2 linked regions of the Nothobranchius furzeri genome follow. The protein of the gene in region 1 purifies or fractionates together with the protein of each later gene. This does not show direct contact. Links are inferred from orthologs where the notes say so. Each region holds a gene or a part of one and is shown in the gene's direction. Other genes may lie near its edges.

Region 1 (8,117 bases):
CTGTTTGCAGAACTTTGATTTGTCCGAACACAGACAGATTCTCAGCGACCTGGCCATACACATCTACCACCAGCTCATCAGGGTCATGCAGAAGACTCTCGCTCCCGCTATTGGTGTTTGAAGAAAGGAATAAAAGCATCACCACATACAGAAAAATTTTCTTTTAGTTAAACTAACTCGTGCTTTTGTGTTCTTAATAGTTCCTGGAATGCTGGAGCACGAGAGTCTACAGGGAATTTCCAGCATGAAACCGACGGGTTTCAGAAAACGCTCCAACAGCGTTTACAACGAGGCTGAGAGCTACACCATCTCCTCCATCCTGCAGCAGCTCTCCAACTTCCACGCCGCTATGAGCCACCACGGCATGGAGAGGTGCCTCATCAAACAGTCCATCAAACAGCTGTTCTTCCTGGTGAGCGCCACCACCTTTAACCAAATCATGCTCCGCAAAGACATGTGCTCCTGCAGGAAAGGGATGCAGATCAGGTCAGTGAGGTTCAACTTTTTGAAATCTGAAGGAAAAAAAGGAAGCTTTGGTTTTAACGTAGCCGTGTTCTTTTAGATGTAACATTAGTTATCTAGAGGAGTGGCTGAAGGAGAAGGAGCTACAGAGCTCTAATGCCATCGATACGTTGAGGCCGCTGGCTCAGGCTGCCTGGCTGCTGCAAGTCAACAAGTCCACTGATGAGGACGCTAAAGAGATCGCTGACAATTGCACCGAGCTCAGCCCTGTTCAGGTACCTCGTGCGCCAACATTTATTATCTAACTGCTTTTTATAACTTTTCTTAAACTCTGGAGGCAAAACTCAAATGTATTTTGCAGATTGTCAAGATTCTGAATTCCTACACGCCCATAGATGATTTTGAGAAAAGAGTAACATCATCATTTGTCCGCAGAGTTCAGGCAAGCTTCAATGTGCTGGATTTTTATGAAGTATTTACTTTTTATTAAAACTAAAGTTGTGTGCTTTGTTGCAGTCGTTACTGCAGGACCATGAAGGGTCTTCACAGCTGATGCTGGACACAGATCATCGTTTCCAGGTCACGTTTCCTTTCTGTTCCTCCTCCATGGCTCTCGAGTTGCTGCAGGTCCCGAGCAGCCTTCAGCTGGACTTCCTGACCAAGATCTGACCTTTGACCTTTCACTCTTCATGACTTGCTGATTCTCCAGTGGCCTTTGTTTAAAGAATTTTTAATATAAATGTAAGAAGGATTTAGAAATACTGAAGTAATTTTCTTCTCAGTGATCTAGATTCAAAAGATGTTTCGTTTTAGCTTTTAAGTAAATAAACTTGCAGTTTTGTCACGCCATTTTTAGGTCTTAATTACATGTGTGTGTGTGTGTGTATTATAACAGTTTATATCAATGCTTTATAAATTTTATTGATTTCATTAGATTTCAGTCAGTTGGACAGTAAAATTGTTGCTTTATCATCATGATTAATCTTTAACACCTCAAACAGGTGTGTTATAGCAACCCAATGCTACATTTTGTTTATGTACGGCAAAATTATTTCTATAAAGTGATTAAAAACCTTGTTTTTACCAATGTTCTTTATCATAAAAATAACTCATTCTCAAGTCCAGCTGGCTAGCAGGGAGCCTGACAGCGGAGACTTTAAGCGGGTTGCTGAAATGAAATAATCGCTCTTGACTACCAGCATTAGGTGTCACAGTTGACTCAAAATTGTACGGTTGTGGACCTTCAGCACCAAAATTGTAGAATTCTTGTTCCATATCTGGCAACATCTGGTAAAGCTCCATGTAAACAGCCACCAGTGAAGCAAACCACAGACACTGATATCTGTGATCAATATGATGTCTATGCAGTGAACGACTTCTCCCGTCACTTTTGGTGTTTTATTAGGAGGTGCTGTTTTTCAAGCAGATAATAAACACACTGGGAAGCAACAAAACATGGATCTCAGTCATAGTTACATCTGAACTGCTTATATAGGTCCTCCTGCATTTCGAATATGCTTAGATGGGTTTAAAGTGGAAGATGAACTTAAAAAATACACACTAAGCAAAATGATCAATATTCAAAATGTAAACTGTTTAGTTTAAAATGAACCATTTTAAACACAGCCGTTAAGGTCAATATATCCTTGCAATTCACCACTTTCTCTTTGGTGAGAGACAGATGGAAGGAACTGTCATTTTAGACGCGTGTCCTGAAAAGTCCTATATCCCAGTGGTATAGAACCCCCCAAAAAATTAGTAAATATTAACGCCTTGTAAACAATTGTTGCAAATCAAACCACTTATAGTCTTAAAGCATCCAGATGGAGTATCAGCATTATACCTGCGTCAACAAACCTGCCATTCCTATTCATGTCTACTGCCCTCTGGTGGTGGATTTACAATTGTTTGTCTATTACTGTTATAAGATTGCAAAATCAAACAAAATCGATTATTACAAAGTCAACGTTAACCACCAGATAGTTCAATTTGATCCTGTTCCTGCATAAAAGTCAGCATTCTGGACAGAAGCACGCAGGTTTGCATCATTAACAGCACACTGATCATGCTATTCTGCACACTTCCTCATGAATGCAGACAGACCGCGTTATTGCTTTGTAACGCAGGCGGCGGTGAGCTAATGTATTTATCTGTAGAGTAGTGAGGCTGGGCGCTGCTAAGGATGCAGCCTCATCACCAGGAAGTAGATCCTCCTCCCTCTATTGACACAGCAGGAGCATCGTCTCCCCGTGACGTCATGACAGCAGCAGCATCAGCTGTTAGCTCCGCTGTAAGCCGCTGTCCGTCGCTCCCCGCACAAAGTCAACATATATGAGATCCCCTCCAATCCCTGAAATGGCGACTCAGGAGGTACAGCTGAACGAGACTCTGGCTCATCTGAAGACCGAGTCGGAGACGCTGAAGACGAAACTGGAGGAGGAGAGAGCCAAGCTGCACGATGTCGAGCGTGAGTCCTGAAAATGGAGAGGCCTCCATCACTCCTCTCTTCACACCATGACGGCATAAATAACACTTTACTCTTATTAGTGTTATTGTGTGACGTGTTTTAGACTGAAGTCAGGCCCTGTAGCGTCCACAGGATGTTGGGATTAATTATCTGACTGGCCGGATGTGAGGATTAGACTATGTTTGCTTTCCGATGTTAAACGAATGTTTCCATCCTGATTTTTCCTCCTAGGAGCTCTTGTCTTATAGGATGCCTGAGGAATTTTGAAAAACTGTAACTAAAATAATAAAAAACGTGGAAAATGGCGTTTTAAAAATAGATTATTTCTATTTACAACAGATCAGACGGATTATTTTAATCCGACCATATAAATCAATCCTTACAGCTACCAGAAATGACAACAACAATAATAATAATCATTATTATTACTAGTAGTATTAGTACTATTGTGTTTGTTGTAATTAGTGCATCAGGTGGCGGAGAAGGTGGAGTCTCTGGGTCAGTTTGTCATGAAGACCCGCAGAACCCTGAAGGGACATGGCAACAAGGTCCTGTGTATGGACTGGTGTAAAGACAAGAGGAGGATCGTCAGCTCCTCACAGGTCACACATTTCACCTTTCAGCTACAGAGATCAGACTGTTCATGAGCTAGAGCCAGTTGGTTGTTCACTCATCCATCTCTTTTGGTGCAGGACGGAAAAGTGATTGTATGGGATGCCTTCACCACCAACAAGGTAATCCATTTATTGCAAAACCTTTATTAAAAACATCAAAGCCACTGGGATTACGTGTTACATCTGTAAAAACAAAGGAGCAGAACTGATCAGGCACATGTTTTTGGGATGCCATGGCACCATAAACTTGCTATAAAGGTTTCAGACAATGCACATTAACAATAAGAAGTTAGATCTAAATGTCTTTGTCCAAGAAATACCATTTACTGAAGAGGGAGGTTAGTGAATGGGTTACTTGGCAGGAAGAGGAAACATTTTAACAGATTATTCTCTCTTCACCTTTTTTATGTGTTTAGAACAAATTTCAAAACCTCAAGGTTTTATTTTAATTATAGCTGATTAATTCTCCCCAGTGCTGTCCCACTCATGCTGCTTTTTGATTGGATGTTTATTAGGAGCATGCTGTGACAATGCCGTGCACCTGGGTGATGGCCTGTGCCTACGCTCCATCTGGCTGCGCTGTAGCTTGTGGGTGGGTATGCTTGTTGCCTCCTGACATATAATCCTTTGATTATTTTTAATAAACCATGTTCATTTTCTCTGCCATAGGGGCCTGGATAATAAATGCTCTGTGTATCCTCTGTCTCTGGATAAAAACGAGAACCTAGCTGCAAAGAAGAAGTCAGTGGCGATGCACACAAACTACCTGTCTGCTTGTAGCTTCACCAACTCAGACATGCAGGTGAGGAGGCACAAAGTTAAAAATCACAGATGAAAGCAGCAGCTGCACATGCCTGACTTGGTTAATAATTCACTCCTGTTTTATTGTCCTGGTCACATGACATTTCACCATTTGGCTTGTAATAAATTAAAAAGCTACAGCCATATTTAGTAAATAGTGAAACTGGGGTGTAAAAATGTTAAAACCCCCTTTTCACCACAGTATGTCTAAATATTTAAACATATATTCACATAAAAATATTGAACATTCATTTTGAATTTAAACTAAATATGCATCATGGTATTCAAATCTAATTTTAAAATGTGATGTGTTTACACAAAATATTTTGAAAAAGCTTAAAAACAGAAGAAGATGACATAAATAAATAAATGTTATAAATAAACAAATAAAAGCTTTTATTTTGGAAGGCTACTTCAGTTCTACATCAGAATCTGAATGTCAGCTAAATGTATGCATTTATAGTGGTATTTAAATATAGCTTCACACAAACTTGAATCTAAATATTTATTATTTTTAATGTCGTTTTTTAAAGCTTCATGTAATAAAGTTTAGAGGTTAATTCTTGAATTTACTTTGATGTCTTTGACAATCACCATGGTCTTGATTCGGAAAAGGGTAGAATGCCTTCTCTGGGTCAGGAATGAGGTCCTGCCCCAAGTGGAGGAGTTTAAGTATCTCAGGGTCTTGTTCACTAGTGAGGGAAAACTGGAGCGTGAGATCGATGGGTGGATTTGTGCTACATCTGCAGTGATGCGGGCGTTGTCCCGGTCTGTCATGGTGAAGAGAGAGCTGAGCCAGAAGGCGAAGCTCTCGATTTACCAGTCGATCTACATTCCTACCCTCACCTATGGTCATGAGCTTTGGGTAGTGACCGAGAGAACGAGTGGCTGGGCTCTCCCTTAGAGATAGGGTGAGAAGCTTGGTCATTCGGGAGGGGCTTGGAGTAGACCCGCTGCTCCTCCATATTGAGAGGAGCCAGTTGAGGTGGCTCGGGCATCTGGTCAGGATGCCTCCTGGAAGCCTTCCTGGTGAGGTCTTCCGGGCACGTCCAACCGGGAGGAGACCTAAAGGTAGACCCAGGACACGGTGGAGGGACTATTAGTCTCAGGGAACGCCTTGGGATTCCCCCGGAGGAGCTGGCCCAAGTGGCTGGGGAGAGGGAAGTCTGGGTCTCTCGACTTAGGCTACTGCCCCCGCGACCCGACTCCGGATAAGCGGATGAAAATGGATGGATGGATGGACTTTGACAATCAGCACCCCATTACTCTCGTAGCACCATCATCTTAAGTAAGCATATACCTTTCCTCTCTTTGTCTGATTGTATTAAAGATCCTGACATCCAGTGGTGATGGAACATGTGCATTATGGGATGTTGAGAGTGGGCAGCTGCTGCAGAGTTTCCATGGACATGCAGCAGACGTACTGTGTCTGGACCTGGCTCCGTCTGAGACAGGAAACACTTTTGTTTCAGGGGTGAGCATGCTCTCTGTGCTGCTTATTTAAATGTTGGACGATTTTCATTGCCGGAGTCGCATTAATCTTTCCTGTTTCTGCAGGGCTGCGATAAGAAGGCTAACGTGTGGGACATGCGTTCAGGACAATGCATTCAGTCCTTTGAAACTCATGAATCAGACATAAACAGCGTGCGGTGAGTCACGGTCCTGATCAGAAAAAACGTGATTGCTATTCTGACTGACTTTGTTTTATAATGTAGCCCAATTTTTTTCTAATAGATACTACCCAAGTGGAGATGCTTTTGCATCTGGATCAGATGATGCCACAGTAAGTTAAACTGTTAAACACCTCAAAGGGACATTTTCAAGTAAACTGAAATCGGTTGTTTTTGTTTCAGTGTCGGCTTTATGACTTGAGGGCAGATAGAGAAGTGGCTATTTATTCCAAAGATAGCATCATATTTGGGGTCTCCAGTGTTGATTTCTCACTCAGTGGTATGATATTATTTCCCTTCAATACTACTTTTGAATATATGATCCTCAATATTATTTAAAGGTGTGGTGTACTTGTTTATTCAATACATTTGCAGTGTTCTCTATTATAAATCAATGCCTTATGAGTCATTTAAATTTAAAAAAAGCTATGCTGCTTCTGTTCTGAGATGCAGAAGTTTACTGGTGCAGAGGTGGGCTGAAAACAGCTGGATTGCTCATTATTATTAATGATATGCCCACACCTCAGTTCTGACTGGCTCACAGAACGTGTTCAGCCGTGTTGAAAAGTCACCATCACCAGGACACTCTCCGCTCTCTCTCCTTGTTGGAAAAAAACAACAACAAAACAAACGAAAGCCCTCCTGTGAGTGGGCGCGAGCCAAGATGGGCGAGGCCATGAGTACAAATCCAGTGTGACATAGATATGTGAGGATTTTCAGATCCTAGCATTTCGCTGTATTTTCTATCAGAAGCTGATGCAGGAGGTAGGTGTGAAGACAGTTTTCATGTTCAGCCTGCATGAAAACTCGGAGTGACCGATTTTATAATCAGAAATAATAAAAAAAAAATTTTCAGGGAACCACACGTTTAAATATTGAGGATCTTGGCTCTTTCTTTGCTTACAATTATTACTTTTTAAAGATCGCTGAAAAGATTTGTGTGTATTTTCATTTTAACAGGACGGCTACTGTTTGGTGGGTACAACGACTACACTATAAACGTCTGGGATGTTCTCAAAGGAACACGGGTCTCTATTCTGTTTGGACATGAGAACCGTGTCAGCACGCTGCGTGTCTCTCCCGATGGTACGGCCTTCTGCACAGGATCCTGGGATCACACTCTTCGGGTATGAGACTTTTTTGTAACCTCTGAGATAACTTTTCAAGTTTCAGTGACTTCTGCAGTGATTGCTGCTTTTTCCTTTTTCAGATCTGGGCTTGAGCGTCGAGCCACAGTGACCTAGATGCTGAAGACACACTGATGTTTCTGTTTGCTAGAAAACAATCACAGAGATGGAAACACTTCTTGGATGTAGATAGAGCATTTCAATAGCTTTGTACATACTCCAGTCTCCTGGACAAGGATAGATTTACATGTCAAAGAGTAATTAAACCAAATGGCACGCTTACATTTCATTAAAACTGAAAGAAAATAGCACAGAAATATAGGTGCAACTTTTATTTTAAAAAAATGAAGAAAATATAAATAGTAGTAACTTGCATTGGTCTAGGCTAGAAGTGATTCAGTAAAGTTATTATTACATTTGTCCACTTGAAAGGAAATTAGCTATTTATTTAATTTACACAAGGTAATAAAAAGAGCAAAAGCATTTAGAGAAGGAAGACTAAATAAGTCTGATTATATCACTGATTGGACCTAGAGGGAGGATAGGATAGCCCCTTCTGTGTGAAGTCAACACCATGAAGTTTTAAAAAAGGCACAGAAAATTATATATTTCAGTTTTAAACCAGTTGAGCTGTGGACTAGAGAAATCTCTGGCCTTAAATACAAAAAAAAATCTGCTAATTTGAACTATTATTCAAAGAAACAGACAAAAATGTCACTATTATCAATGATGGTTCACCTGTCATACTTATACTAAGAAGGTAGATAAAAAGTTTTACATTCATGTTGATTTCTATCTTTAGTTATACAAATTGTTCACTTCCTGTTTACTTTTCTGCTGTATAAGAAACCAAAAAGTCTACGAATTCAGTAACAACTGACCACATTATTTATGCATTTATTTATTTTTGTGGTTCCCCTCTTGTGGTTTTACATTTAGGGAGATTAGGAAAATGTAGTCCCTCCTGTGCAGCTTT
Region 2 (8,386 bases), on another chromosome or scaffold:
ACACAACACAGTCAAGAAGTTTTAGGTTAAAAAATAAAACAATGGCATAAAACTCACCAAGAAAAAAGCTAACAGCTGCATCCACACCTAAAGCTTCAGAGATGATCATCAAGCTGAAGATAAAACAAGGTAATCAGATTACAAATCTCTAGATTCAGCGATCTCCTTTAAATCTGCCAATGTAGTTTAGAAAGAAACAACTAAAAAGTTGAAAAGTTTTGAAACACACCTTATTTCAATTAATGAGGATGCCTCCTGGACGCCTCCTTGGTGAGGTTTTCCAGGCACGTCCAACCGGGTGGAGACCTAAAGGTAGACCCAGGACACAGTGGAGGGACTATGCCTCTCACCTGGCCAGGGAATGCCTTGGGATTCCCCCGGAGGAGCTGGCCCAAGCTGAACCAGAAGGCAAAGCTCTCGATTTACCGGTCAATCTACGTTCCAACCCTCACTTATGGTCACAAGCCTCAGGCAGTGACCGAAAGAATGAGATTGCGAATACAAGCAGCCGAAATTAGTTTTCTCTGCAGGGTGGCTGGGCTCTCCCTTAGAGATAGGGTAAGAAGCTCAGCCATCCGGCAGGGGCTCGGAGTAGATACGCTGCTCCTTCACCTCGAGAGGAGCCAGTTGAGGTGGCTCGTGCATCTAGTTAGGATGTCACATGGATGCCTCCCTGGAGAGGTTTTCCGGGCACATCCAACTGGAAGAAGACCTAAAGGAAGACACAGGATACGATGGTGAGACTATGTCTCTCGGCTGGCCAGGATTCTCTGGAGGAGTTGGCCCAAGTGGCTGGGGAGAGGGAATCTGGGCCTCCCTGTTGCCCTCACGACCTGACCCCTGATAAGTGGCCAAAAATGGATGGATGGATGGATGGATGGATGGATGGATTCAACCACTGGTTCAGGTTTTGGAGCAGAGAAACAACTAAAACATGCTTGCCTGTAAGAGTTTGAATTCCTTTCCATTCATCAGCTGACTAAAAACACAAAGTTGGCTTAAAGATCTCAAAAAGCAACACCACGCACGATCCGATGGAGATTGCAGACCACATTTTAACCTCCGCAGGCTTCACTTGGTTCAGGTTGAGCCGAGAGAGGAAACACTTTTCCACAGCTTTGTGTAGATGAAGAATGACGGGATCATAAGAGCAGCAGTAACAGAAAGGTGGAGAACCACTGAGGTTCTGGACCCGAGGGCACTCCCAAAGAGCACGCTGGTGACAGGAACCACGGCTCATTAACTCACCATCCTCCACCTCTGCTGCTACTGTACGTCTCCCAGTGAATGATGTCTGCATGAATGGAGACGAGGAAAATGTGACTCGCTCAAAACGTGACGCTCAGCCAGCGAGGAGATGAATGAGGTCAGCTGGGTTTACCTGCAGGCGAGCAACACAACATCCGTGAAAGCAGATTTACAGTGAGCGTGCACACACACACACACACACACACACACTGAGAAGCTCTCCCAAATAGTCAATAATTGTGAGCAAAGGTGGACAAAGATAATTTAACTTACAACCAAATCATAAATGTTTCTCCTTAGGGAATAAAATGTTTGCAAAATTTTACAGAATGAAGAAAAAATTCTACTCCTGCAGCTGAAAAGAAAATCAACTCGTGGTGGTGGGGGGGGGGGGGGGGGACTTAATAATAAGTATACAAAAATCTGTCTAAATGACAGGTTAGAGGCTTTTTAATGCAATGTCAGGAATACAGTCGCACATTAGCAAGTACCAGCAGAGCCATTAGAGTAGTTCATGGACGGTTCTAATGGGAAACAGGCTTTAGCACAAGCTGCTTTCTGCTTGGTCCTAGCGCTCAACCAGTGTCTACTTAATATAGTGTAATGTTGTTTTGGACGGTAAAAGCTGCAGGGGTCAAAAACTTACTTTGGAAATAGTGTGTGTGTGTGTGTGTGTGTGTGTGTGTGTGTGGCGCTTGGGGGGGGGGGGTCATGCCCCCCCCCAAAAAAAAGCTACATCCATGGTTTCACTCAGTGGAAACGAGGAGGCGGTAAACTGGAGCCACAGTTCAACCCTGTGAGTGATGAGTGAAAACAAAGGAGCAAACATTTTGGGTGGAAGCCCCGTCAAAATCAGCTGATGATGCGGCTGGATGAAACTCAAAAAATGAGAATAGGGTGCAGAAGTCCATTCATGTCGGAAATCCAACTTAGACTGAGAGACCATCTAAAGCAGGGGTGCCCAATCCTGGTCCTCGAGGGCCGGCATCCAGTTTGTTTTGGTTTTAATTCGGCTTCAACACACCTGATTTCAATCAGCAGGTGATTAACAGGCTTCTGCAGAGCCTGATGAGATGCTGCACAGGTGATTCAACCAGTTAATCAAGTGTGTTGGAGCAGAAAAACCACAAAACCTGCTGGATACCAGCCCTCCAGGACCAGGATTGGGCAGGGCACCCCTGACCTAAAGGCTTCAGGAACCCTTTGCAGGTGTTGTGGATTCATTAGCTGATTAGAGTCTAGAATATTGAACATATTCACAACATTATAATTGTCTGACATTCTGATTTTGAGGTTTATCTGACATTGCTTGGAATGAGTCTAGTCTCACTTTTTAAGTAGAGTTAGTGACGTAAATGAACTTGTGCACCATATTCAGATTTTTCAAGTTTCATCTGTAAGTGAACATCCATAATAGTTAGGTTGTTGATATTTTTATTAAAATCCACTCAGTGACTCATTTAATTTGCATTAAAGACACAGAAAAGGCTCAAGTTTCATGTAATTAAAAATACCACACAGTCAAAAATAAGGGTACAATTTGAACTGATGTACCCTCTAAGGCTTGACTAACTATGAATCATGTAATGTTCCCCAGCAGGAAGAAGATGAAAATAATTTCTCTTTTACCAGTTCTTTCTAAACCCAGAACAGAAAGGTTCTTAAGCTCCTGGGTGCACAGCCAGCCCACGGCACTTGATTCTGTTGATCCGAGCGCATCCTGCAAACCCCAGATACAAACAAGCTGCATGTTTGTGCGTCTTGCTCCAGTTTCTGTCTGTTTTGATCTCTGATGGCTACGGCCACAACGTGCAGATTCAAAGCTTCCTCTCTTGCATGGCACAAGTGCAACACAGGATGTCGTGTTGAGGTTCTCAACCCACGTTTTTTTTTAAGTTATGAATTCAAAACAGAAAAAGGAAAAGCAAAAATGACCAGCTGGTAGGAGTTTGTTCACTGTGGCTGCTCAGATTGACAGTTGGAGCCCTTCCTGTGGACCTCCGAGGGAACGAACGTGTCGTTATAGCAGAAAAGAGAAGAAACAAAGAGGGAGGAGGAGGAGTGTAGTGTCTTGGCTGAAGGGTGGAGACTCAGCAGCAGTGAGGAGGGAGGCAGTGAGTAGATAGAGAAAGGCACACAGACAGAGGAGTGTGTGTGGATGTGATCTGCTCTGCCTCGTTGACTGAGTGTATGTGTGTGACGGAGGGAGATCAGGAAAAGGGGCGAGCGCATGGATCCCACAGCACTGGATGTGTGTGGCTTCACAAACAAAGGATCCTCATAAAGGTAGGCTCTTTTAAATCTCTTTTCTCTGGCAGCAGACTGAGTTTGTGTAGTGTTTTGGTGGGATCCGGGTTAATCACATCCAAAACAGGGTGTGTTCAAGTGGATGAGGGTTTTTTTCATGCTCGAGGGGTGAGGACTGATGCTGCTGGCTGCTTTACATCATGGAATCCCCTCCTCCCTCAAACATCACCAGAAACCTCCCAGCTTTAGGTGATCTGGGCTCAAATCCACTGATCCCTTCTTTTCTTTACAATCTAGAATGGAGTCCCTTCCTTCCTTTTTTCTTTTTCCTCCCTGTTTCTCCTCAAATCTAACAGCGTAGAGCCGGAGGAATTAGGAGCATCTGTTTCAGGAGATGTTAGCAAATTCAGAGGGGATGAAACAGATATATGAAAAGAAAATATTGATTTTTGTCCGTTTTTGGTTCTGTGAGGAGAAAACAGTCGGCCACGAGCAAGCTTCGTGTAGTGGTTGTGTCAGGCAGATGGCTAGGAGAGGAGGAGGAGGAGGAGGAGGAGGAAGATAAGGAGGTGGCTTGTGTTTTCATGGTACACAGATACTGTATGACAACAGCATTCAATCACCAGAAACAAGCAAACAAATACAGATCTGCTGTTTGTCCCACTCTCTGCTCATCACTTGAAGACATCGTCAAGCACAGCTCACAATCAGGCATTCAGTCCTGTGTGTGTGTGTGTGTGTGTGTGTGTGTGTGTGTGTGTGTGTGTGTGTGTGTGTGTGTGTGTGTGTGTGTGTGTGGCTGAGGTACATATCCTGATTACAAACGCACGCTGAAAGTCAGAATTACGCAAGAGCTCCCATCCAGCTGGGTGGAACTGTTCCAAGGCCTCCACAAGTCGCCGTTTTGAATTGTGTTTCTGTGTCAAAGTCATAAATACTATCTTAGTGTCCAGAACAGCCTCTGCTTGGTGAAAACTGTTCACATCCTGCAGGACGGATGCACCAAAAGATGTAATGTCAACAACCTGAAGGCCATATGTCAAAAATATTGATTATAGATGATGAAAGAGCTGCGGAGAAGAGGTGTGCTGCAGATAAATTACACATTTAATGCTAAACGTTCAAATGACTTGATGTTGGCTTTTGATTAACTCCTTGATGTGATTAGAGAGGAATTGAGCTGACGTTAGCCTCATTTCTGCTAACTTTTCCAAACGGAAACTCGTCAGCTGAAGAAAGAATATTTTACGTTAAAAGCTGTCTGCAGAACGAGATGCTTCATTTTCTAACGCATTAAAGCAACACCTGTATAGGTGATCCAAAGTGTGGCCCAAGGGCCGTTTGTGGCCCTCGGCTGCAAATTAAGAACGGTCTTATGTAGTCCCCAAACCAGCTGGTTGGTGCAGACATGTTTTGTTCCATATTTGATCAAAGACAAAAACACAAGAAACAAATTGTCTTTGTTTTCTTTTCTTGTTGCTGCACTCGAGTATTATGGCTATTGTTTGGAAATGTTCGGACACTCCTGCTTTACATACGAAGATATAATAAGGGCATCTATCTCCAGCCCTAAGAACAAACAGAGGACTATGTTTCATTATCGATGATCTGATTTAAAATGAAAGGAAAAAAGAAATAACACTTTCAGAAAATTTATTTATTATTTAAATCTGGACATATCTGGATCTAGCTATCTATCGATGAGACTTGAATTTTTCCAACTAGGCTCATTTTAAGATGGCAGCAATCAACTTTCAACTAGCCTTTAGCTCATCAGTCAGATCAGAGCTAAAGGCGTGCTTGTAACTTCCCAATAGAGACAGATTTTTAAAACATCTGAAATGTTTCTTTAAATCCGACTGAGGTGCCAGTCTGATGATTAGCTCACATTCAGACTGTAAATCTGAATCTGTGCTCAAACAGTAAGCTTACTAAATAATCCCCATGGCCACCAGTCCCTCTGAAGTAACACGGTCTAGAAATGAACTGTAGCTCATTCACACATGTTGCAGTAGTGTGCATGCTGACCCAGAAAACGTGGAATAACCAGCAATCTTAACCGTTTAACATAGTGCATGCAAACACACACACACACACACACAGTCAGAGGCAGTTGTGGTCTGAAACTGTCCAAGCAGCTCTCCGGCTCTCGCTGCAACATTTAAACAACCCTGGATGTTTGTAGAAGCTCCACAGCCCTAGGGAACGGCCCAGTTGTTAGCTGCTGATTGATTCCAGGGGAACATTCACGTCTAGGTCTCCGAGGAGACTTAATAACCACAAAAGATGCTAAAAATAGCATCTGTGACACAAAGGACAGGAAATCCAACTTTAAACCTGCATTTACAGATAAAAAATAACGTGGATACTTTCAGAGGTGACTGAAACAGCCAAATAACACCAGCTGGTGGGTGGTAATCATTTCTCCACCATGGATGTAGCTTTGGGGGACGGGGGGACATGCCCCCCCCCCCCCCCCCCCCCCCCACACACACACACACACACACTTTTTTCCCAAGTAAATTTTTGTCCCCTGCACTTTTCACCGTCCAATAACAACGTTACGTTATATTAAATAGACTCTGGGTGAGCACTAGGACCAAGCAGAGAACAACCGCTTGTGTTGAAGCCTGTTTCTCATCAGAAGCGTCCATAAGCTCATCTTTTGACGTGCGACTGGTCATTCCTGCTGTCACCCCACGCTGTAAACAGGACATGCTCACTTTTCTACATGCAGTTCTGCATTCCTGACATTGCGTAAAAGAGCCTCTAGGCTGTAGCTTTATGCATATTTTTGTATGTATAAAATGCACCACGGTCACACAAAAGCCGTGTTTTTCCTTTTATCTGCTGCTGTGGTGTGACCTGTGTTGTTTCTACCCCACTAACCACGCTGCTGTTACGCAACATCGGTATCAAAGGCTTTAAACGCTGCAAACTCTTAAGAATAAGGCCTAAACCCCACACTGCTGCTGTAATCCAACAAGAAAGCAACACACCAGGCTCCGTTTGTTTGATTTAATAAACATAACGGGCCACATTTGTGCTCCCTGGAGCATTAATCCTCCACCCTGCTGCCTCCATGACTCCTGAGGGGATGCATCATTTCCTGGGCCACTGCATCCCCCCGCGCCTCTCTGGGGCTAAGATTAACCTACAGCACACACGTGTATAAATGCACATGCATGAATGCACCACAGTCTGCAAGATGGCAGGGCTTGCTGGGGGTGACACAGATGTCCGAGATAATCAAAGGTTCGAGGGAGGTGGTGGTCTAACGGCGCAAGGCAGAAACCAGACTGACTTCATAGTAAAGACTTTCTTCTACATTATATCACAAAAAATAAAATGAAATTAATCTCACAGGAACTTTAATTTGAGATGTTTTTTGGGGGGAAATACAAAAACGTTGTTCCATTGTGCATAAAAATGAATAATGAACACATAAAATGTCAAAATTGTAACTTTTGACCTTGCAATTACATCTTTTTCGCTCCTGTTCAATTAGCTTGATTTATTTTTTTCATATTTAATTCTGTTGTAATTAAAAGCTCCTATCTGGTTGTGAAAGTCAGAATCATAAAAGTTCATTAGAATCTTTTAAATATAAACTTGCAGCTCATAATGAACAACAGCTATTTTTGATAAGTATTTATGATTTGTGTTATCTCAGAATGCTGAGTTTCACTTTTTAAAGGATGACCTTTTACTCACAATCAATGACCAATCTTACAAATCTGGATTTTTGTTGCATATTTAAACCTTTGAATATCATGATTTTGACTTTTATTGTGTTGTGATGATTTTTACAGTGCTAATTATGACTTTTATGCTCACATTTTTGAAAATAATAACTTTCTATCAAATAAATGTAAAAGTCAGATTTGTATAACTTAGCTTTATCACCCGATCTGCCAAAACTGCAGTCATCCTGCTTGTCCTCATAAATTCTGCCATTGCAACTAAAATATTTAAATAAAACATATTACAAGTTTAATTTACACATCTAAGTTTGTTTACTTAGTGGACTCTTGTGTGTCAGGAAGTGAAACATCCTTTTAAAGATGTCTGATCCACGATTCGCTCAGCCTCCAGGTCGCCCACTTCCTGGGTTCATGAGTCTAGTTCTGCATGTTCAAACTAAGACGTTTGTACTGAAAGGTTCTTTATATTATCCAAAATGTCAACATGTCCCATAGGTTATTTGATGGAAAATGATGATCCAAAATGGCTGACTTCCTGTTGGGTAAAGACCATCTTTTAGAGTTTGGTAGGTACCCTGTTCCTGAAACAGTTAAATTACGCTGATTCTTTGATTAAAGTTGAATGATTTTACTACATTTTCTGTGCTTTTGTGCATTTTTAGACTTCTGTGTTGTTTTCCAGTAGCAGCTGGCTAACTTAGCCATGTTTGCCTTGGTGTGTGGGAGCATATAAATGATGTTCTGGTTGTAACTCACAGAACCAGCGAGGGTCAGCTGGTTAAGCTCAGTATCCAGGCTAAATGGCATGGATACCAGTAGATAAAACAGTTTCACTAAATCAGTTTTTTATGAATGAAATCTCACCAGCTGGACGAGATTTATTCTGGTGAGTTTTCAGAAAAAGACGCATCAAATAACTGTTAGTGGAGTTTTAGGCTCAGTCAAGCCAGACTAAAGAAAGAAAGCCCAGATTTGATGAACAGGCTTTGTAACAAACACTTTTCTGATTCTCTCTGACACACTCAACAGTTCAGCATTCTGTAATCAGCTCTCCCGGTACTTTAGGCCTCAATTACTCTGTAAAATTGTTACTAGGTCACGTTTCCTTCTTTGTACCCTTTGGATTGTAACTCATAAATGTACAGATGCTTAATTAGAGACCAGGTTTCATGTCCAGGTCTGAATAA

The links.
Region 2: the proteins of gnb5a (region 1) and gng2 purify together in Homo sapiens (affinity purification with western blotting; 4 studies listed by BioGRID and IntAct, with this or other methods). This does not show direct contact. The link is inferred for Nothobranchius furzeri from reciprocal best matches to the Homo sapiens genes GNB5 and GNG2.

The regions. Positions count from the first base shown.
Region 1 is NC_091744.1:64,502,991-64,511,107, forward strand, and holds the start of gnb5a (guanine nucleotide-binding protein subunit beta-5a), read left to right. Parts: upstream 1-2,557; 5' UTR 2,558-2,793; coding exon 2,794-2,929; intron 2,930-3,394; coding exon 3,395-3,531; intron 3,532-3,621; coding exon 3,622-3,663; intron 3,664-4,058; coding exon 4,059-4,135; intron 4,136-4,212; coding exon 4,213-4,345; intron 4,346-5,674; coding exon 5,675-5,818; intron 5,819-5,901; coding exon 5,902-5,993; intron 5,994-6,078; coding exon 6,079-6,127; intron 6,128-6,197; coding exon 6,198-6,294; intron 6,295-6,974; coding exon 6,975-7,141; intron 7,142-7,224; coding exon 7,225-7,236; 3' UTR 7,237-8,117. Other genes in the region: myo5c (unconventional myosin-Vc), read left to right, coding at 1-113, 201-486, 563-737, 824-904, 979-1,131. UniProt on the Homo sapiens protein: Enhances GTPase-activating protein (GAP) activity of regulator of G protein signaling (RGS) proteins, such as RGS7 and RGS9, hence involved in the termination of the signaling initiated by the G protein coupled receptors (GPCRs) by accelerating the GTP hydrolysis on the G-alpha subunits, thereby promoting their inactivation.
Region 2 is NC_091758.1:20,027,464-20,035,849, forward strand, and holds the start of gng2 (guanine nucleotide-binding protein G(I)/G(S)/G(O) subunit gamma-2), read left to right. Parts: upstream 1-3,348; 5' UTR 3,349-3,534; intron 3,535-8,386. UniProt on the Homo sapiens protein: Guanine nucleotide-binding proteins (G proteins) are involved as a modulator or transducer in various transmembrane signaling systems.